Lonchura striata: one gene and its partners. The protein of the gene in region 3 interacts with the protein of the main gene of each other region in a pairwise test. Links are inferred from orthologs where the notes say so. Each region holds a gene or a part of one and is shown on either strand. Other genes may lie near its edges.

What was found. The genes of interacting proteins can lie anywhere in the genome.
Region 1: the proteins of HMG20A (region 3) and RPP30 interact in binary tests that used the Homo sapiens proteins (3 or more experiments, as listed by UniProt). The two-hybrid records come from large-scale screens. The link is inferred for Lonchura striata from reciprocal best matches to the Homo sapiens genes HMG20A and RPP30.
Region 2: the proteins of HMG20A (region 3) and HPCAL1 interact in binary tests that used the Homo sapiens proteins (3 or more experiments, as listed by UniProt). The two-hybrid records come from large-scale screens. The link is inferred for Lonchura striata from reciprocal best matches to the Homo sapiens genes HMG20A and HPCAL1.

Annotation. Positions count from the first base shown.
Region 1 is NC_134609.1:16,214,557-16,222,323, reverse strand, and holds the start of RPP30 (ribonuclease P protein subunit p30), read right to left. Parts: upstream 3,008-7,767; 5' UTR 2,967-3,007; coding exon 2,885-2,966; intron 1,379-2,884; coding exon 1,323-1,378; intron 1,008-1,322; coding exon 951-1,007; intron 308-950; coding exon 233-307; intron 1-232. UniProt on the Homo sapiens protein: Component of ribonuclease P, a ribonucleoprotein complex that generates mature tRNA molecules by cleaving their 5'-ends. Also a component of the MRP ribonuclease complex, which cleaves pre-rRNA sequences.
Region 2 is NC_134605.1:99,285,795-99,293,207, reverse strand, and holds the start of HPCAL1 (hippocalcin-like protein 1), read right to left. Parts: upstream 3,008-7,413; 5' UTR 2,935-3,007; intron 1-2,934. UniProt on the Homo sapiens protein: May be involved in the calcium-dependent regulation of rhodopsin phosphorylation.
Region 3 is NC_134613.1:5,200,046-5,207,225, forward strand, and holds the start of HMG20A (high mobility group protein 20A), read left to right. Parts: upstream 1-4,162; 5' UTR 4,163-4,411; intron 4,412-5,907; 5' UTR 5,908-6,025; intron 6,026-7,180. UniProt on the Homo sapiens protein: Plays a role in neuronal differentiation as chromatin-associated protein. Acts as inhibitor of HMG20B. Overcomes the repressive effects of the neuronal silencer REST and induces the activation of neuronal-specific genes.

The DNA of each region.
Region 1 (7,767 bases), on a different chromosome or scaffold from region 3:
CGGAAACCAAGGAACAGAACTGTTGTTCCATACTGAAAATGATCAACAGAAGCCATATACAGTCTTGTAAGCCTGCATCTCCTCATGATCACATTATTTGTTAAAGATGCAATCTCAGAAATCACTGCTGAGTGCCCTATAAATTCCAGGATGTTATCCCCATAGAATTTCCAAAGTTTCATTCATTCATAAAGAAATAGAAGTTGCAAAATTGACTGCTGAGTATACTTACCAAGAGATTACAGTGGGAAGGATCAGAAACAACAAGTGTTAAGCGGGTCAAGACTTTAATTCTTTTAGATGTTCCCTACAGAAAAAAAGGATAATATAAAAAAAAATTAATAATCCAAAGCAAAAATTTGTGGTAATTTCCACCAGTCTGCTATAAAAAGAAAATGGTGTCTTGATATATCTCTTTGATATTATACCTGTCCTTACAAAGAATGACTTACTGTGTTTCTCTGGAGAAGGATAAATAGAAAAGGAAAGAAAAAAGACAAACAACTATGCAGAAAAATTGAGTATGTTTTACTACTGTTGTGATTCCTCAGGCAGGCCACAACAGCAAGTAAAAGCAGTTCCTGAATTAATGAATGTCAGTGATTCAAAACATATTATTGTACTTTTTTATATCCAAATTTTGCTCCATTGAAACCACAAAGTTATTTCCAAAACTTAAATTTCAAGAACTGTACTGTAATTATTCAATTACTAGCAGATTCAAAATTCACACAAAGAAATTTCTTTAATAATTTCTAAAATAATGAATAGAGCTTACCCTGATGTGAGCTAACTATTCTTCCTATGCTTGGAGGTTTAACCATGAAACAATGGACAAATTTTTCTTTTTTGATTAACACCTCATACGCAAAATCACATATACAAACACACAAAGGTAAAAAAGGGTAATTCAGAATAACAGTATATATAGAGAATGCAACTAGACATACTTGTACAATAGGTAAAGATGGAAACAACTCTGAAGGGGATACTGGCTTGATGATTTCCTTGAAAGAGAAGAAAATAAAGTTATTAAAACTGTTATGGGTTAGGTTTACATGTAAACAAAAACTGTGTTCCAATCTTAAGAAATTCACCACACTAAGAAAACTATTTTTGTGGGACAGTACATGAAGCAGATTAAAAATTAATCCAAAGGCAGTTTTACTGCAATATAAAATGGGAGTTTTGTTACAAATACAGAGATTTGTACTTGTGTCTAGATGTGCATTCTGTAGCTAAAGCTATCTGGAAACATGCAGTAACGAAGCAGGTTTACTAAGGAAAAGACAGTAAGACCAAATAACCCCAAGAAAAATTACCTGTTTCTTTTCTTTAAAGTCGATGACATGATTAAGTGCAACTGCAGAATACCCCACTGAAAAACACATAGTAAGAATATTTTGTCAAGTAAACAAAAAGACAATAAATCCAATGAGAAAACCGTAAAATAGTCATTACTTAAATGTCTTAAGGTTAATAACCATGTGCATGTTTAGATTTCACAGTATTTTTTAAAAAGACTGGTTCACCCAAAAAAATACTTTAAAACAGAAAAAAAAAATCTATTTGGTTTTTAGCCTAGTCCAGGCCTTTCTACTCTTACTCAATCGCAGAGCTTTATGAACACAAATACATGGGCTTGGTGTCCCCAAAGGTCTAGCTTAGTTTGGCCCTGTTTATGACTTTCTCTATGGAAAACTGCTAAGTATACTCAGCACAGCTGTTAAAACTGCAGACAACGCAGAGCCGGCAGAGATACAGCTGTCGGAGAAGGCAAAGCGAGCAATTCAAAACGATGCCGACTACACGGAGGAGAAGGTACCGCTCAAAGGGCTCTGAGGAAGAGACGCCAGGGGCGTTTAAACCAGCCGCCCAAACCCCGCACAGGCAGCACGTGGCTGACAACAGCTCTGCAGGGAAAGAGCCGAGCCCTAGAAACTGCAGGCGGAAACACTGGTCCACGTTGGGGAAAAAACAGCTGTTACGCTGGGATACACAGGGAGAGGCAGAGCTGCAAGGCGCATCAGGAGCTTCCCCAGCGACCCCGGCCCAGGCAAACCCCGACCCGGGCAGACCCAGCCCCGGGCAGTCCCAGCCCCGGGCAGACCAGATCCCCGGGCAGACCCGGCCCGGGCAGACCCGGCCCCGGGCAGACCCGGCCCGGGCAGACCCGGCCCGGGCAGACCAGATCCCCGGGCAGACCCGACCCCGGGCAGACCAGATCCCCGGGCAGACCAGATCCCCGGGCAGACCAGATCCCCGGGCAGACCCGGCCCCGGGCAGACCAGATCCCCGGGCAGACCAGATCCCCGGGCAGACCAGATCCCCGGGCAGACCCGGCCCCGGGCAGACCCGGCCCCGGGCAGACCCGGCCCCGGGCAGACCCCGACCCGGGCAGACCCGGCCCCGGGCAGACCCCGACCCGGGCAGACCCCGACCCGGGCAGACCAGATCCCCGGGCAGACCCCGACCCGGGCAGACCCCGACCCGGGCAGACCCTGTCTCGGGCAGACCCCGACCCGGGCAGACCAGATCCCCGGGCAGACCCCGACCCGGGCAGACCCGGCCCCGGGCAGACCCCGGCCCCGGGCAGACCCGGCCCCGGGCAGACCCGGCCCGGGCAGACCCGACCCGGGCAGACCCGGCCCGGGCACTGCGCTGGCAGAGCCGCGGGCGGAGCGCACGGAGCGCAGCGGCGCCGGGGCGGGTGGCGATGCCGGCCTGCCCGGAGGGAAGGGAAGGCTCATCCCGGGGATCTGTGCCCACCCAGCCCGCAGGCTCCGGCTGCGCCTGCCGAGCCGGGGAAGCCGCCGCCGCTCGCGTCCCGCCGCCTCTGGCCGGGGCCGGCCCGCGCTCCCAGCCCAGCCCCACCGGGACTCACGGTGCGCCGCGGCCTCCAGCAGGCTCTGCAGGCACTTCTTGTCCGCTCCCTGCGGCAGGTTCAGGTCGGCGAAGCCGGCCATGCTGGCGGGCGGCGGGCGGGCCCAGCCCGGCGCGGAGCGGCGCACGGCGGCCCCGCCCCTGCCGCCCGCCCGCGGCAGCCTGGGCCCTGTAGTCCCGCTGTGCCGCGCCCCACACAGCCCTGCTGCCTCGCCACGGGACTGCGGTGGGTGGGAAAGGCTGTGGGGTGGTGCCTTAGGCCCTGGAGATCTCCCGTGGTTCGTTCCCAGCAGCGCAGCCGGGCTGTGAGAGACATCACGGCTCTGCATCCCCCGGGCCCGCCGCTCTCCGCCGCCGGCCGAGGCCCGGCGCCCCTGAGGCGCCGGGTGCCCGCCAGGTGGAGCGGTAACCCTGCTCCAGTGCCGGGTTTATCCCCTGTGAAACTGCTTCAGCTCTGTCTGAGCGTTGCCAATAAAAATCATAGCCAATCTTTTCTATGTATAGTTTCATAGCTATTCTCTTTCCTACAAAGCCCCGAGCTGCCATGTCAAAATACCCCTGACGCCGAAGAGGACAGATGAATTCTCACAGACCGATGAATCAGATAAAAGTTCACTGTGTAGCACTGCCACAAAAAGTACTAATATTGTTCTAATGCTGGCAAATGGCACAGAATATGTAAAATACAAATAGAAATTCTCAGTAGGCGGTTTTTGGTGACTTAGAGCAGCCGCTAAAGATAGCAGGTTTGCAATTCCTGTCCAAGTTCAGGTGGCCAGACCAGGGGGTCTTTCCCTTTTTCTGTCCTCAAGTTGAGCTAAATGCTCACCAGGGGACGTCTGTGGAGTATCTGGAGCCCTGAATTCTTAATAAGGTAAAAATGCTTCTAACCAAGGCCAAGGCTGCTGCCAAAGCGTGAACATCCCTCCTTATAGGGTCTGACCTTGATGCAGCTTGTGCAAGCTGTGTCCATGGGAATTGTGGGGACCTGGGATTCATTTCTACCAAAGACATCATGGTTAACAAAGTATGGCTGAGAAACAACAGTGCTTTCTCGGCGTGTTTCTGGACTTCCTGTGTGATGAGTTGCAAATACCTGGGATGATGGTAGCAGAGAAGCTACTTGTGGCTGCAGACACTGGACTAGGAGTTGAAGCAGCTTTGAGGGTCAGCAGAAAGCAGCTCCCACATCTGTATGGCAGGAAAAATCCACATCACTCTGAAAGGGGTAAAAACCCCCAGCTGGTAAGCTGTCATTGTTCATACCACATCTATGGCAACATTGTTTTCTTGACCATATTAGATCAAGATATTTCAGTAAAGAAGCTCTGTTTTAGTCCATCTACATCTGTAAGGTGTTTGCCTGTGACACCACATCAGCCAATACTGCTCCTCTGCCAGCCAACTGAACAAGCAGCACAGCCTGAATGGTATTGCCAAGGTCTTTCTTCAATGTGTGTGAAAACAGAACAGCTCAAGATATTATTCTAGGTTTTCAGTGTTTGATTTGAGTTGATTTGTCTTAATGAATGTAAAAAGCAATCCAGAATCCATTCAGTTATTTCTGAATGGCCCTACTGCAACAGTGTTCAGAAATACCAAAGATTAAGCAGCCTTTGTGTTTGGCAGTATACAAGCAAAAGAAACCCTTCTTTGAGGTTCTTAAAATGGAGGACATTTAAACAGATCTTCATGCAGAAGATCTACAGAACCCTATTTTCTGTAATGGTGTAAGAATCCAAGTACGAAGAACTTTTAGCACCAGGTATCACAAATTGTACTTAGAACAGTGCACAGTCTTATTTTCCATGTTATTATTTAGCTATTACTGCTTTTACATACGTCAGACCCAGTGATTTGGGGAGAATTTCCTTATGGTACTCACTGTTAAGCTGCAAGCTTCTAACATGCTTTGTTTCATTGTTGTCATTAAGTTCTCCTTGGTGAAAACTTATCTCCTCATTCCAAGTGTTTCTTTCTCAATACACTTAGACCTCAAGACTGTCCTTTCAGTAAATTTTAATGCAGAGACCATCACAATTCTTCTAATAGGTTTTCCATGGGCAGCCCCTGGTAGCAACTGTTAGGGTGTTTTTGCTTTAGTTCTGCATTTGGCACTTTTTGGGTGCTAAGATTTTATTTATTACTACCTACCTCAGCAACTATAAGATTTTATTTATTACTATCTACCTCAGTAGCATGAGTGTCACAGCCACTTTCATCATAACCTCATAATCTCCACTGTAAAGATAAGATGGAGTTTTCAGAGTTGGGAGCTCTCATTTTGAGTGATACAGAATTTTAAGCATAAATGTCATCTTAATTGTTCATTTTCTTTTCAGATGCCAGTTTGTCATTGTTAGGATTTGCTGGTTCCAGAAAAGGACAGACATAATTTCATATTTAAGTTGCACAGATGAAAGTATTTATTTTGACAATGGTAAGAAATGGCCAAATACGGGAATAGTTACCTCTCTGTTTTACTGCCACAGAGTGATGATGATTTATCTTCACAAAGACAAGAAAAGGCAGAAAAGTGCAGCTGCAACTATTTTCTAGAAATTAGACAAGTGTTATTTGCTAAACAGTACATGCTGGGAATAAAAATCAAGGTTTCAGTAATACCTCTAGAAAGCAAAGAAAAGGAAAAGAAAAGAAAAGAAAAGAAAAGAAAAGAAAAGAAAAGAAAAGAAAAGAAAAGAAAAGAAAAGAAAAGAAAAGAAAAGAAAAGAAAAGAAAAGAAAAGAAAAGAAAAGAAAAGAAAAGATATGACAGACAAATTAAAACAACAGCTTGAGGAGATAAGCTCTCTCAGGCAAGGAAGGACAAAAGAGGGGATGATAAAAAAGAACAAAAAAAAATTCTGATCTGTTTATTTATTGCATTGCATACTCATGTTACCTTCCTGCCATATGTACAATACTGGATGGTTTAAGAAGGGGAACATAGCAGTACCTCAGCTTTTCCAGCTAAGATGAGCAGAGCTATTGTTTTCTAGAGGCAGCTGCGTGAAGGAAGGTGTTACCATGCTGGGCTGTCAGCGTTTTCTCCTCTGGTGCTGAAGCTCTTGTACTGCATTCCTTGACCCATTTCAGTCAGGATCCTCCACGTTAGCACAGACCTGCTGTCTGTGCTAGCATCAGATCCTCCAGGGAGGGATGAAGGATCCAGGATTTAATGCAAGATTTTTCAACATAAACACTTTGACAGATACAGTCTGGCCCCACTAAATCAAAATGTGTTTGGGAAACTGTATTTCCTTGCCTAGCCCTAATGACCTGTCTTACCTTATCTCACTAACATGGCAGCAAAGAATTGATAGCAATACCCACTGCAATAGTATACACTTAGTATCAATAACAAATGCTGAAGATGTTATGTGATTAGCACTGTTTCTGGAGGAGGGGAAAAATTAAACAGAGGAATTAACTACTTTGGGAGAGGGAAAAATGAAAATAAAAGGTTCTCTTGCATTTTTTTCTTTTTATAATCTGAATATTTTCTACATAGCAATAATAAAATACCAAAGGTGAGATTTGCAAATAAAGTACACTATCAAATATTAACAAAATAGTTTAACTTTACTAAGTGCAGAAAAAAAACTTGGCACAGAATTGGAGGTATATGGAAATATTAAGAGGCTTTTATGCATAGAGAGCCTAAATTACTCATAAGACAGGATTCTACTAAGCTCAACCAGAAAAATGATTTGATTGTATTTTTTGAAGCCTAATGGAAGGTTAAAAAGCAATTTCTTGGGTAGAGAACAAATGTCAGCTTGTTATTCTTGACACCTAATTGGACATTTGTTTCACTTCTGTATTCTATCTGAAACAACATTATTAGAATTTTTAAATATGATCACTGAAAACAAAAGTGGGATGTACCCTTGGAAAGACGAAGTCCCACTTTCATGTGTTGTTATTTTAAGTGCCTAGACTGGATGTCATCTCATGGAATGATGGATTCTCTTTGCCTTTCTGGACACTTGGCCATGTGAAACCCTCTAAACCCTCACGGAAAGCACCTCACTGGATTCAGCCCAGCCTGGGAAACTGGAAGTTATTTTAGGTGTGTCCTAGTAAAAAGCTTTCAAGGAACATATTTTAGTAAGGTGTCAGCTGCTTTGTCTTGGCAGGGTTTTTCACATCTTCTCTGCAGTAGTACATAAATCCCTTTCTATAATGATACATAAATTGACTTAAATTGGTTTGTTTCTTCAAAGGTAAGATTACAACAGCAAATCAAAGAGTGGTAACATGGCCTTTGAGTAGGAAAGAAATCAGGTGATTAACTTGGAATGGACTGTAAGGGAATTTAAGATACAGAACAAAAGATACAATTCAGTCCTACTTTTGGGTTCGAGTGGGTAGGAGTCATCCGTACCCTACCAAATGATCCTGTGTATCATCCACTGAGAACATTTAGAGAATCACGTCCCAGAAGGGTATTGAAAAGCTGTGGAGAAGAATGACTGATTTAATGAACTGTGTTAACTCATTTGCAGGAAGCACCAGATTATAATTTGCTCTGCCTTAGTGACATTTTAAGCAACTGAAAAATTGCTTTTACTAGGAGTATTAAACTGTACAATTTTATCAGCCTTTGTGATAAGAATCTATTTTGAACAAAATTTACTAAGTTCCTAACTCCTTAGCTGTTCTTCAAATGCTATTTTTGAAAAAATATGTTCAACCAATAAGGAAACATTCTCTCTACAAGTTTTGCCTTAATGTTTTAATTTAGATATGTCCTTGCCTTTTCTAAAGGCCTTTTTCTTCCTAATATTTACTTAACTGAGGACAAAAGACTTCATTTATCACCTGGTGGGGTAACTCACCTGAGGCTCAAGGTTGATGAACACATTATGGGTGGTTAGCAGTT
Region 2 (7,413 bases), on a different chromosome or scaffold from region 3:
GTATATTGAGCACATTACTTCTTCCCTGAAAATGTGTCCCGAGGCACGTTTCTCTAATGCAGACCTTTGCAAGGCAAGAAAAAGCCCACAGTGCTATGCACAATATCTGTAAGGCTCTGCTGGATTTAGAGGGATCAAGACACTGCCCAGGTCCACATTAGGCCAACTTCTCCTTTCACTCTGCAGGAATGAAACCCTGAGCTTGGTCTCAGCTGGGGGCTGAGACTGAAGGGGACAGGGCCAAGGAACTGCTTTGTTTTAGTCTCAGTCCAAGTACAGGTGAGGCAGCACTAAATATGAAATTTACATTAATATATCATTAACATTAAATTGTTACATTATGTGTTTTTGGTAAATCTAGTATTTGAGGGTTTTAAAAGTAAGACCCCAACACACTTCTTTGTATTGATATGGTGATCAAAAAGGACAGTTTAAGCCATCTCTACCAGAAAAGCATTGCCCTGGAGGGAAACTTTTCAGCCTTGCTTGAAATATCCCTTCACTTCCCTAAATGAGAGGCCATCCAAAGGTCTGTTTCATGACCTGCATATTCATTTTCTTCTGGCACTTACAAGACATGCATATACTAAATGCATGCAGATCTCAAACAAGGCTTGAGGAAAAATTTCCAAATGAGTAAATTCAATTAACTGAGCTTGCTCTTCCAAATTCATATTTTTAACAGTCTACAAACGATCATTCAGTGACCCATAGGATGGTTTGTATTACACCCCATCAAGGTGGTCAAAGTCAGGATGTAATTTGCAGCACAGGAGAGGTTCCTTCCCTGGAGGAATGTCATAACTGCACTCAAGAGAGGTCTGAGAGCCAACAGTCCCTCAGCTGCTGCTCTGGGGGTCTGCTGACACTGCTCAATGGTCTCCTGGCCCTACTTCCCCAACAAAGGTGCACCTGATCTCCCTGCAAGGTGAATCATCTTCTACAAAAGCCTCCTCAGTTGGATTTGAGAGCACTGATCTTGTATTGAAAATGTATTGCTCTTGCAAATGTTACCTCCAAAAAATACTTTGCAGAGATTCAAGGGTACTTCTTCAAACCAAGCCTGCATCAGTCACTTACAACTGAAATACTGCTGCTCACATCTCCCTGGCACTAAATGGAAGCACAAAACACTCCACACACACCCCCCATCCCAATCCTTCTTCCTTCATGTCTCAGCTACATCCCTCACTTTGCCAGCTTTTCACTTCTTCTCCCAGCCAAGGTATCATGCTGTCTGTGCTCCAGCTGCAGGACTGTCACTTTCCTGTGATCAATGCCCTGTGGCTACCCACTAATTTTAATACCTGCCTTCTCCTTTAATTATGTCTCTGCATCAACCCTGCTCAAATGCTGTCAACCCTTCACAGTCCTTTTCTCGAGGAGAAAAGCAGACCCTTAACCCAGATGGCAATAAGTGCTAGGGTTCAGCATGTATGGGGAATGGATCACTTCAGGTCTAGCACAGAAGCACACAGAGCTGTTTTCTGCTGTCAGGGTTAATACAAAAGGTATTAAATTCAGTATATCCTGTATCCTGTACTTCTCTCCTTAGAAGTGTCACGTACCCTGCAGTATGTGCTCTGCCAATCTGACCCAGTTCTCTTGATGAAGCTTGGAAAAGCAATTCATTCCTTAGCTGATATTATACAAGATATTAGAGTGTTCTGAAACATGTCTGCCAGCATTCTGATGGTATTGTTCAAATGCTATCACTAGAGACTAATATGCTTAATATGGCAGCAGTGTTCCTCTGTGGTGACTTGTCCCACACAGTGACTGAGGAGACCTTGTACTGAAATGTCTCAGTGCTTTTCTGGCTCACTCTGATGCACTAGCACTATAATCTCTTGTGCGTATGAGGCACTGAAATCACCTCTATGCTCCACCCCAAAGCAGTCCTTACCAAATTGGGCTGCTTCAATCTGTGAATCCCTTCAAACTCAGCTCATGGAGCTGACAGCAAACCCTTGCCTTCTATGTAGGAGGACATTCACATTTTATGTGAATTTAAAAATGTTGATATTATTTTCAGTCCATTTGCTGGGGAAGATTCTGAAGAAACTCACCCATCCTGAATTTGATCTTAGAAGGACATATGTTCCATTGATTACAACCCACCTGCCTCCCCACTGTCTTCTCTAGCTTCATATCCCAGCTCCTTACTCAGCTTTTTTGCCCTGCTCCTATTCCTACCATCCAGATTACCCTGTCTATCCCTACATCTGTTCTCCACTCACTAGTCTGTCTCCACCTGCTTTTCACAGCTTTGCCTTATGCATCCATATGCTTGAACTGCAAGGGTGGCATTCCTTCATCCTTGGCTCCAATGCCCAATTACAGAGGAAGAGTTCCTGAGATGATGTTGGGCTGGAGCCTTAAGTCCAGAGATGAAATCATCTGAGAACTTACCCTCAGCACCATATAGCTAAAGTGCAAGTGAAATAGTGAAGTTGTTTTTCAGAGGTTTATGTCTTGGCCAGATTTGAGGAGAGGGAAAACTGAAAACTGATCCAGTTGTAAATCAAACCCTCCTACTGAGCTTCATTTCCTGCTCCAAAATGAGGCACTGCAGTTCAGGCTAAAGAGCTCCAAGAATTCTGGCTTAAGGAAATTAAACTGGTTTGTGTCAGGCTTTTTCCAAATTTGATGGATCAAATTTGCTGAAGCTTGCAAAGTCACCAACCCCTGGGATAGGTAGTATAACATGTAATTAATTTGGATTCAATCTTATTTGACAAGGGAGAATCAACTGAAAACAGGAGTTGAGAATGGAAATTGTTTAGTAATTCTAAATTCACACAGCTGTGAGAATTTAAATGTTCTTCTCCTCCAAGAGTCTGGAAGCACAGAGAAAAGGTAATGAAATACAAGTTACTACTAATAATCTTCCTATTTAGTAAAATAAAAGATTAGATACTAAACAAGGTTTACCTCAAATGCCGTTAAATAAAGTCAAATTTTGGTGCCAGCAGTCATGTTTAGCCCCTTTAAAATGCCCAGTTACAGGTTCTGAAAGACAAAAAATGAAAGATTGAGTCAGAAGCTGATGGAAGCCCTTCAATGGTCATGTGTTACAGCTCCATGTGTTACATCCACAAAAGATGTTTTTCTGTATTACTGCACCATACTGCAGAACATAAAATTTTCAAGTAATTTGAGCCTTTCATGGCTATAGTTTACCCTCAATTAAAGGGGGTTCTCACCTCAAAGTAAAACTGACATTTGCTCTCATTTGTTGATGGCAATTACATGTTCACCCAGCATTCAACACAGCAGACACCCAAAAGTTGCCCTCTGAATGCTACAACAATATGAATCAACAATATCACTTCTCTGTCACAAGCACAGCTTTCCCCCAGCTCACTCTTTCCATATCCATGGTGCAGATAAAGGAGGTGCCATTAGTCCCTCTCCAGCAGCAGCAGGAGCTGCACTCTCTGACTCCATTCCCACCCCAGTCCCAGTGCCACAGGATGCTTTTCCCAACGCAGTCTTCTTTCACAGGTGCAGACAGAGACAATGGTCTCTGGACAAGGATGGGAGCTGGAGTCTTCCACTTAGTGAGTACCTGCAGCTCCTTTCCAGGGGAGGCTGGGGCATTGGCTTTTCTGGATTTGGGGATCTATTCTACCCATCCATCCACGGTAAATGGAGAAAACCCAATAACTCCAGGTTATGGATCTGCTGGACCTTTTTTCAGCTCCTTATGCAAACCTTTCTCCTTGAAGATCACAAGCTGCTCTTTGCACAACGCAATCCCTGGGCAGGCAGCTTCATCCCACCACCCTCATCCTCAGCCACACTCGCTTTCTCCAGCTGCTGTCACAGCCCTGGAGAGGACTCCAGCACTGCAGAGTCCCCTTTGCCACTCCGCCTTCACAACACCAGCCTTACTGACATCACTGTGGTTGAGGTGTTGCTGTCTCTGAAAATGAACCCTTGCAAACACCCACCTTCAAACAGGCAAGCAGGGTCAGCCATAGATGGCCTCCTGCAGACCCTCATGGAGTGATAAAACTCTCACAGTGTGACCACAATACCTCCATCTCACATTAGCCACATCTTCCACTGCACAAAATTTTAACACAGACAGAGAGCATCTTCAGTCATTTACCACAGAGAATGACACAAACTTCAAAGAGAAAATACAGCTGCAAGTTTCAGTAACTCAGAAGAAAATATGCTCTTTCAAGACTCATACATATATCTTCTCACATTATGTAAAATTAATTTCCGTATCAGACAAAGCCAAAGAATTATTAGGATGAAAGGTCACTTAAAATGATCTGTGTTACTGATTTTATCAGCCACTACTTACAGCTTTAAAAAAGTCAATGCCATCTAATAGTGTCCATATTTCATCTCTTGAGAAATCTAATACTCTCATAAAGGAAGCAATATCAGACTGCATAGTCAGTCTTATGTGGAAATACAATTCTGAGAAACAATAAGAGAAAAAATATCATGGAACCTAGATAATATGCTGCATTTATACACAGAAGGGGAGAAGAGGAAAGAGACAAGAAACAAAATTATTGTGATGAATAGTGAGAACATCTTGCAAATAATGCAGATGCCAACATAAGATATCCTTTATTTCTGGAGCTGGTAATGAAAGAGATGAAGATTACTGCAATGTCACGCCGATACTATGAGAGCACTGTCAATCCTGTCAATAATCCCAGTTACAGGGCAGCATGTGTATGCAGAAGGTATCAGTTTCTGAAATTCAGGAGTGCAACAGTAGATGTCCCATATTAACGTCTCTTCTTCCCAAATTTTATGTTGTGTGACTCCACCCATAGGCTGCTGTTGACCCTATGATAGCATCCAGATGCCCTGGCTTGGGGTCCTGTTGTGTGAGAAGCTGCAGTTTCAGCTGGCAAAGGCTGTGGCTGCTCCCAGCAGCTACCAACACATGGGAGAAAAGCAGCAGAGACACAGAGTGCCTAGGCAGCAGGAGAATCCTGAAAAAGGAGTATGTCTTTTCTTCATTCAAGCATGCTCATAAATGTAAGCACAAGGAAACCTAACTAGATTTATCTAATAGCAATGAAAATCTCTCTCCAAGGGATAATCTTACTTCTCAGTTGGCAGCATTTGTGGCAGAGCTTGCTTACTCCCTCACCTAGTCCAAGGCACAACCATGTTCACTTCCATGAACTGTGTCAAGTGGCAACAAAAGCAGAGTAAAAGAGGTGCTTCTGCCTCCTGTCAGAAGGAATGCAACTATGACACATCAAGGCATCATACATGGAAAGACGGAGCATGTTTCTGCACTATGACACGTGAGCTCAGTGCTGGGCACCAAGTTGCCTCAGTTACTGGCTCCCAGCTGCTGTGGCAGATTGTCTCCTTTGATGTGAACACAGACACCTGAGGCCTTTTCTCACCCTTGCAAAGCACTTCACCTTGTCATCCCCAAGGGCCAAGCCACGTGAAGTGTGGCCAGCCTGGTCCCTTTGCTAGCAGCTGCCAGGGCTGGGAGAGCTGGGCAGGGGAAGTGCTTCCAGCAGTGCTCCTGCCACAGCTGTGATTCCACCTGTCCCCACTCATTCACACTCCTCGTGCACTTGCAATTATCCAGTTATCCCTTCCTGCTGCCTGCTGGGTGCTGACCCCAGGGATGGGCATGGTCCTTTCTGAACTGCTCCAGGACATCCCGTGACGGGCAGAACCTGCACAGAAGTCTAGTCCTTACCTCTTATTTTATCTCATGCCATTACTTATTCCTGTTTTGCATTAAGAGGTATTTTTTTTTTCTCCTCCTCATTTAATATTTTTTTTTAAAATCAGCTTTGTCAGTGTTGTGCTGCCTGAACTATTGCAGGAGCACTGCATTAACTCGGGGGGCAACGCTACCAACGCAAGGCTTTGAAGCTGGTAACAGCATTACAGGTATTTTGCTTTGGCAAGTTCAGCACATGAGAGTTCAGCATTAAACACCCTTCCTTTACATTGTTGCTCTAGTCACATTTTCTTTGCTTAAAAGGTGGGGTATTTTTTGGTTTTACATGTTTCATCTGCTTTTCAAGAGAAGTTCCATCTCCTTGATCTGGTCTATCCACAAAAATACCACAGTCAAAAGAAACCTGCCTGATTGTACTACATCACTGATCTGGGGTAAGAACATCTGCTCTCAAATTCTGCCACAAATTAGCAACTGAGATACTATCTCCCTAATCATCAGTCTCTTTTATTTTGCTTTAAAGAGCTATATGTGACAAAAACAAGTCAGCTGACTCCCTGAAACTTTTAAAGAATTATCTACATATGCATCTTATGATCAAATCTAATGTGCCTTATCTGAATGTTTACCACAATGCCTTTTTATCCCAACTTAAGTCTAGTTAAGAATGTTATTCACAATTGTTATTTAAATAGGAATCCACTCCTAGAATTACCTGTCTTATCAGGACTTCTGTTCAGTGGATGAATTTCATGGTCTTGCAGAATTAGGCCTTACACTATCATAATTATGTGCAGAAATTACATGACCTTGTTTTGTATTTCCCTGACATTAAATTTTGTGTTTCCCATTAGCTCCAGATTTTTATCTGATAGCACAGTGATAATTTCTTCCTGAACAGCAAATATAGTGTACTTGGCAATTACAGACTCAAAAAAGAAGCAATTATTTTGCTTACGACGCTTTATGAATTAAGTTCACAAAGGCTGAGACAGAGGCGTCATCTATTCTCCATATAATTTGATATTTGCATGTTGATTGAATCCTCCTCCAGGAAGGCCACCCTGTTTAGCTCATCAGAGAAGAAGCAAGAAAGCTAATTGATATTTCAAAGGGGGTAGATGAAAAAGGACAGCCATTACCAAAACCAACAATTACCAACATGAACAATTGCCACGTTTCTTTTCCATTAGAGGTAAAACACACATGTGCATAAACAAGGCCAGGCCTTTTCAGTGGCCCTCCTTTGCAGTCAATGGGTTTATGTTCTGGTTTATGCTCTGGCTAGGAATCAGATCAGTGAGGAAAGAGTCCAGCAGGGGCCTATGGAAATTAAGGAAGCTTTTAGTGCCAGACCTCACCCAGCAGAATCAGTGGCATTTGATGGCCATTTGCATGCCGCTACAAAGGTCCCTAAAAATCAAAACTTGCCCAAATTCAGGGTGTCAGAGGCATTACCAAGAAGGAAATACCTGGTTTGTTCCAAATCAGGGGACCTCTGTTATCAATGTCTAAGTTTAGCTGGAATAGCTGCTAAATTGCATCAAGATTGCATCAAGCCAGAATATGCTCAAGTACCCAGGCATTTGCCTTTATTTTAACCTATTGCCATAAACCAATATTGTGTGTGACTCTCTAGCTCTAGTGGTATCTTGCTCAGGGTCTTGGAAGAAAGATTACAAGATTAGGACACCTACAGTGACAGCAGCTCTCTCTGGAAG
Region 3 (7,180 bases):
TTTTGCACTATCAGGCAATCTCAAATCAACTCAGTCCACTTAAAGAGATATGGGAAAAGAAATTGCTTGAGTCACTCAGCTACTTTTCTATCTCGGGCAAAAGGAAAACTGAAAATTTCTTACACAGTTGATAATTTCTGCTTTTTATTTGGATAACACAGAACCCACAGCACTAGACCACAATTTATGGAAATTTCAGCTCAAATATTAGACAACTAGTTAGAATTGTTACCAAGTAAAAACAAGTAATTTATCTTTGTCGCTGATGTTGTAGAAATTCTAAAGCAGTCATGTTCTCCTCAGTGTACACTGTTGACTTGCTCCACTTTAACCTGCTTTAAAACAGTAAAAGTCAACTAGCAACTCTTACTCCAGTTTGCAGCCTGTATTTTTCCACTCTAGAGTTAAAACTGTATGGTAATGGAAATTCTGCATTATTGTGCTGATCCATATGAAACAATGGAATTATTTCAGCCTTAGGCCAATGTAAATCCCAGTGCAACTCTGGTCCTCACACAGCGGCTGTGTGGGAGCACAGGAAGGTGGGAAGACTGGTAATGCCAAGCAAGGCTCTGCAGACAAGGTCTCTGCACCAGCCTGTCACAAGTAATGCACTCACAGAACGGGCTCCAGCCATCCCTCCAGGTATCAGCATAGAGAACCCAAAGCCTTTTCCCATGGGTCTGGGGCTACACATCTCCTTCTCCAAAATCCATGGTACTTTACATACATAGAGAGTAGAATTTCCCTCACTGGTGATTTTTGGCTGCCACTAACAGCCAGTAAATTTGACATATGGCTACGAATAACTTGACATTCTCTCTCTCAACTTTGCTTCAACTATTAAACCAAAACATGTTCTACAGATTATTACTTTTGTCCTCAAAGTAGGTTAAAAACATCTGGAAATGTTAATAGCAGAGATATAAGAAAGTTAAATTTTTAGTTTCCCTGTCAATTGTTTTGTTTACCATCTCCTTTCACACCACAGGTACTCCACAACCTTCCCAGTGCTTTCCAGCAGCGCAGCACCACGTCCCCGTCAGAGCCGAGGCATTTGCATTTCAATGCCCTGCCCGTACCCGAATGTCAGCTCTGACACACCGACTGCACGGGAGGGAGCAGCTGGGCAGGATTCCTGCAGCAGCACAGCAAGTGGGGGCAGCGGGGTGGCAGGAGACAGCCCTCACCTCGGAGCCCTGCCTGGCAATCCTCTGGGCTCCCTGCTCCGGGGCTGGGCAAGAGAGGCTCCAACAGCCTCACTTAAAAAAAAAACTATTAACACCGCCTGAAACCAAGCCAACCTCATCAGAGAGCAATCAGAACAAGAGAAGCAGTGACACGGAGGAAAGCTGCAGATCCTTATCTCTTCAGAAAAAAGGGCAAAGACGACATGGGCCATTAGCAGAGATGGGATAGTGTGATCCTAAACCGGGATGAGGGGCAGCTGGAGGGAAAAGGGAGCCTAAGAGCAAAGACTAAACAGGAAAAGGGAAAAGGAAAGGAGACACACAGGCGGTTACGTTCAGAAACAAGGTAGAGAAAACATGTTACAAGTTGTTAACTTAGACTAAGCTTTCCACATACATATTTTTCCTAGCATGATACAGAAGGTTAACAGTAACTGTCGATGTCTATGACCCTTATCAATAGATTATAATAGCTATCATAATATTTTACTATCTTGTTTAGAGGAAAAAAAATTAGTCAACATTTAGGAGTCATTTAGACAAATAGAAACACCCCCCCCCCCCTTTATTTTTCTTTAAGTTGCTGATTCCAACCAATTCCCTTACTTGGAAAGTAAACAGGAAATAATACATATATTAGTAAACATGCCTGGAAATGGATTTTCTAAAGAGCTGAAAAGAAACACAAATTACTCAAGAAGTTGAAATGATATTTTGTCCCTTTGCTCTCTTTCACTGAAAGAACCATTAAACTGGCAGATATGTAGGAAATGCTGCTCCTTCAAACTAACTGTATGCTCTAAATCAAACCTTGCATCCATTATGAATTGCAGCTGAGTTAAAGTGCCTACCTGCAGCCAGGCCAGGCAGCAAAGTCTGCTGGCTCTTTGTTCTGCAGCTGGCAGCTCCTGCCCAGGCTCAGGAATCACACCCCACCTGCCACTGCTGTTCAGGTGAGGAAGGTGTAGTTAGGCCAAAGAGATCTGTTTAAAAAGGTATTTTAGGAAGTCTGTGAATGAAGTCATCTACATGGGATAATCTAGCAATAAGGTAAAGCCATCAGGAAATGAATACATAAGATTAATCATGGAAAGTTACTCATGGAAAACTGGTAATTCCTTCTTGCATAGTTCTGTATTTTAGAGAATAAAACAAAGTTTTCCTGAAAACACACTGAGCAGTAACTCTGCCAGGAAGATGCTTCATCTGGATAAAACAACTCACCTACTTTACAGACACAAGCTTTTAAGCCAGTATGAAACTAGATTAAGAGCTCTAACAATTCCATACAATCATGTACAATCTCCACAAGTATTTGCTGCTCTTGCTACACCTCTTGATTCAGTCTGTCTAGAGGAGGTTTTAAGTCATAAGTCACACAGAAGGAAGTACATCCAGTTTGTCACAAAGGTAGCTGTTCAGCTGGCAATTTTAAGCAAGTTAAACTTTCTAACTATAGAAACTAATTATTGGAATTCCATAAAGTCTTGTTTCCTAAAACATCTGTGTGTTCTTTCCTTCATGCCCATATATCTCTGTATGTTATTTTTTCTGTAAATATCTGGGAATGAAGTGTTTTAGCAGACATTAGACAGCCTTTATGCCTCAGTGAGGAAGGGGAAAAACTTTGGAGGCACTTAGAAAGCAATTAAAGAAGAATGAGCTCTATAAAAGTAAATGGCAAAGACCTAAAGCAAACACAAACTATGATCTCTGAGAAGGATCCCCCTATTAAATTCGAAGTCAGAGATCCACCAGACGATATTCCCCCTTGCCCCTGTGCTCACCTTGGAGCAGCCTGGCCATTCTGCATCAAATATCAGCTGCTCCACAACTAACAGAACTGCAAAGTATTCACATCGTTTCATTTGCTGTCCCAGCGCAAATCCCAGCTTTCCCAGCCCAGCCTCAACTTCACCCTCAGTAAAAACTGGCAAACAGACCGACCCACATACAAATCCAAAATAACCTTCGAGAGAAAGGACCGAGAGGATGGAATGCAGCTACACACGTACACGCTAACACGTAAAGCCTTTCAAGTCAGTAATTCGTAATAATAACAGAGCACGGACAGAGCCCCGGCAGGAACAGCATCCACCCGGCACCCACAGCAGCTTTATCCCGGGAAATTCCTCGAAGGTGTCAGCGCGGGGCAGGCGCTCCCCGGCAGGGCGCGGGCCCGCGCCGCACGCTCCCGGCCGCGCTGCGGGCTCGGGCAGCGCCGGGGCTGCCGGCGAGCACCGGGGCCCCGCGCCGCCAGCGGGGGCGAGGGCGGCGCGGCCCCGCGGGGCCCCGGCGCGGCTGCCGGCGCCAGACGGGCTCTGCGGGCGCCGCCGCGACCGGGACCGCGGCGGGGCGAGGGGCGCCGGGGGACCCGAGGGGAGGGAGTGACGGGCAGGCGGCGGCCGCGCCTCGCCGGAGCCCCGCTCGGTGCCCCCGCCCGCGGCCCCGCGGAGGAAAGCGGACCGCCGCCGCCCCCCGGCCTCCCCTCACGGCGCGAGGGGTCGTCACCCCCTCCCGCCCCTCACCTGGCAGGGGCTCGCCGGCCCCGCGGCGCCTCCCGCGAGGAGGCGGCGGCTGCGCCCAGGCGGCTCCGTGCGGGCTCGGTGCCGTTCCCGCCGGGCCCGCCGAGGACGCGGCTCCCGGGACGGGGCTGCGACCGCCGCGCCCGCGCGCAACAACCAACTCCGGGTGCCGCCCCCCGCGCGCGCACCGCGGCGGGGAGCCCCGCCCCCCGATCGCTCATTGGCCGCCGGCAGCGAGAGGGCGTGGCGCCATCGCGGGGCGGCGCGAGGCCCTCGGGCGGCCAGGGGAACCGCCGTGATAAGACTACAATTCCCGATGCGCACCGCGCGCGGGCCTTTAAATACGTACCGTCATCTCGCGCGTGCGTGTGCAGAAAGTGTGTGCTTCCGCCTGCGGTGGTGAAGTAGTCCCGCTGCGTGGTTTGAGCTCCAGCCCCGCGCTGGGCCGCTGAGGGAGCGGAGCGGCGGGCGCTGAGCCGGGAGCCCTCTCGGCTTTGCGGGCCTTCTCCCGAGGGGCTCCTCTGGGGGAGGCGAGAGGGCCGCTCTGAGGCGGGAGCGGAGGGATCCGAGCAGGCGGAGTTGTTAGGCGGCGGGCGCGTGCAGGACGCGCGGCGGCTGCGCGGGCTGAGGGGACCCGGCTGAGGGGACGCGGCCGCCCCCGGGACCCCGGCCCTGCGCCAGAGCCGCCGCCGGCAGGTCAGTGGGGACGGCCGCGGGCCCGCCGCCCCTCCTCGGCCGGCAAGGAGTCGGCGGGCGGCTGCGGGTGCTGTGGCCCGCCGTGAGGGGGGCTGGGGGAGCCGCCGGAGCTCACGGGGGGTGAGGGGGAAGAACCGGATGAGGGTCTAAGTGCTTGGCTTTCCGTATTCTCCATTATATATCTTTCCACGGTTCCCCCAAAGCGATATTTCATGGCTCCCTTGGTTCTATTTATTTGTCCTTTCTGTAGGTCCACTTAACGTTCCCTTGTCAAGCAGGTGATTTGTTATAGCGTGGTTTTCTTATACTTCTGTCCAGGTTTCCACATTCAGTTCCCCGTCCCTGGGGGAGTGAGTCTCTTGTGTCGAGGTGGTAAAAAGAAGCCCCGGCCCTGGGGCTGAAGACACCGGGGCCACGTGCCTTGCGAGGCGCCATTCATTCCCGTCCTCTGGAAAACCAGCGCGAGAGTGGAAAGGAGGAAGGGCAGGGCGAATATAAATAAAAGAGCTCCTGCTCTCTAGAGTAGCGTCCTTCAGCGTTTTTGGCTGCCCATTCCTGTCAATAAAGAATGCTTTTTATCATGCCTCTCTCAAATATGTAAATTTATTGGTTCGTCAGTTATCTACACGTAGTGCTCTTCTGATAGATTATAAAACGTACTCAGACATAGAAATTGAGAAAGGATAAGACAAAAGTGAAACAGAGATGGTATTTTAAGACATTATTTCATAAAGCTGCAGAAAATGCAGATTTTTGGTTTGCTTTGCATATGACCCCCTTGACCACTGTGCAAATTCTTCTGAAGTCATCATTCTAAAGAATGTAAACATAAACTGCCGATGAAAAGAAATATGTTTTCTTTTTTAATCCTGGCCACGTGTGCAGGGGTACAACCTATTTGAAGATGGTAAAATGATAGTGAAATGCTTTTTTACCTTCTCTTGGCTTTTTTCACACCTGTATCATATGTCTGTTAGAAGGGATGAGATATTTTGTATTTACAGAACTATATCACTTGGTGGAATATAATTCCGAGTTCAGGAAATTGGGGTAATCTGATAATTTTTTTCCCCCCTGTCCTTAGAAATCCGGCATGCCTTGAAATAGAACTTGAGAAGTTTGGCTTAGAAATGGTGTGCAAAACAGAGTATTTTGATTAGTCTTTAAAATCCTAAGTTAACTTTTATTTAGGATCCCAGTAGTTTTCAAAACAGAAAAATGAGAGGTTGTGTGATCTGACCACACTGTCTTGGTTATAAGTGGATTTTTTGTTCCTTTGGTTGCCCGTGGCGGGGCACACAGAGGGTATGTGGTGATAACATTTGTGGCTCAAAAAAGAGAGCAGAGAATTGTGTTCTTTTAGGTACCTGATGCTTGGGTCCAGCTCCTGGGTGTACCTAACTGTTAGAAGGTGACTATAACAATTTCTGGTGCTCTGCAGTAAAGCAACCACAAGGAGAGAGATTCTCACTGTTTTCCACCTTCTGCTCTTGCAGGGGATCTTCCCTGGCCCAGCTCAGGCTTGCTGTGTATGGCTGGCCAGGACTGCCCCCAGAACTGAGGAGAGGAGCTGATCGCCTCGTGCTTCTGGATTGCTGGATGCCAGCACTGACTGTGAGCTGTGCTTTTGCTTGTACAGCATCACGATGTTACTTTAAGTATCAGAGCACAGGAATGGAGAACATTGTGCACTGATGTGCTGGGCTTGACTTTGTAACCTTTGTTAGTGTCTGTTCCCAGTGAAGTTAAATAAAGGGTCACTCAGTATCCAGTGCCCATTAGCAGGGTGTGTCTCCTCACCTGCCACACCGGCTCAGCCTTTCCATGCTAATTGCTTCTTCTTGACTAAATAGGAATAAATAAACTGTTTTAGGACCAGTTATTCAATGGGATTTTTCTCAAGTTTACAGGCTCATACAAGTTTCTGAATTCTTGCTGTTTCACCCTCCTGCCCTCTCCAGGCTGTGGGTGAAAAATTTAAGTATTGCTGCCATGCACACAGAGCTGTGCTTGGTGTTTTTGAGTGTTGTGGCATGTGCTTTGAGGAATTGTTAGAGAATAAAGTAATAGAGACCCTCTTGATAATGATCTGTGGGAGGGATGGGTGACTCAAAGAAACAGGCCTGTACAATTTTGAGTGCAGTAGGTGAATACAGAAAGGTTGTCTTTTTTTTTTTTTTTCCCCAGTTGTTCATGTACCTTTAATAAAATGCTGTTTCAATCTGAAATGCGAGTGGCTTGGGAGTCCCAAAATGAAGTTGCTCTCTGAATTCTTTCTAGCTTTTTAAATTTTTTTACTTCCATGATTTCCCTTAGAAAGAGAGGGGAAATGTTTCTTATGTTCTTGGGAGCTGTTAAACTTCTGCTATTTTTAAGACAAGAAGAGTGATCAATAAACACAATTCAACATGAGGTATGAATTACTAAGTGTAGTTTGTTTTCAGAAGCCACTGTTTTTTTGAGAGGATTGGTTTATGAAAGCAGGTAAGGCTAGTTGATGGCTATTTGAAATACACAGTCAACTGGTAGCTAAAGCTTTATTGATGTAGGTCAGGCTCCGTGGCAAGGTGAGCAGTGTTGGCCATATTGTGTTGTCTGACTCCAGGAGTGGCTCCTTCATGTCCAGTGGCATCAGCAGCACAGCTGTTGGCTCTGATGGTAGCTGTTAGTTTTTACTGGGAGCTGGCCTCGATGGTCCTTGTGGGTCCCTTCTGTATTCCGAATTCTGTATTCTGTGGTGCAAACTTGTAGTCTGATACTGGACCTTGA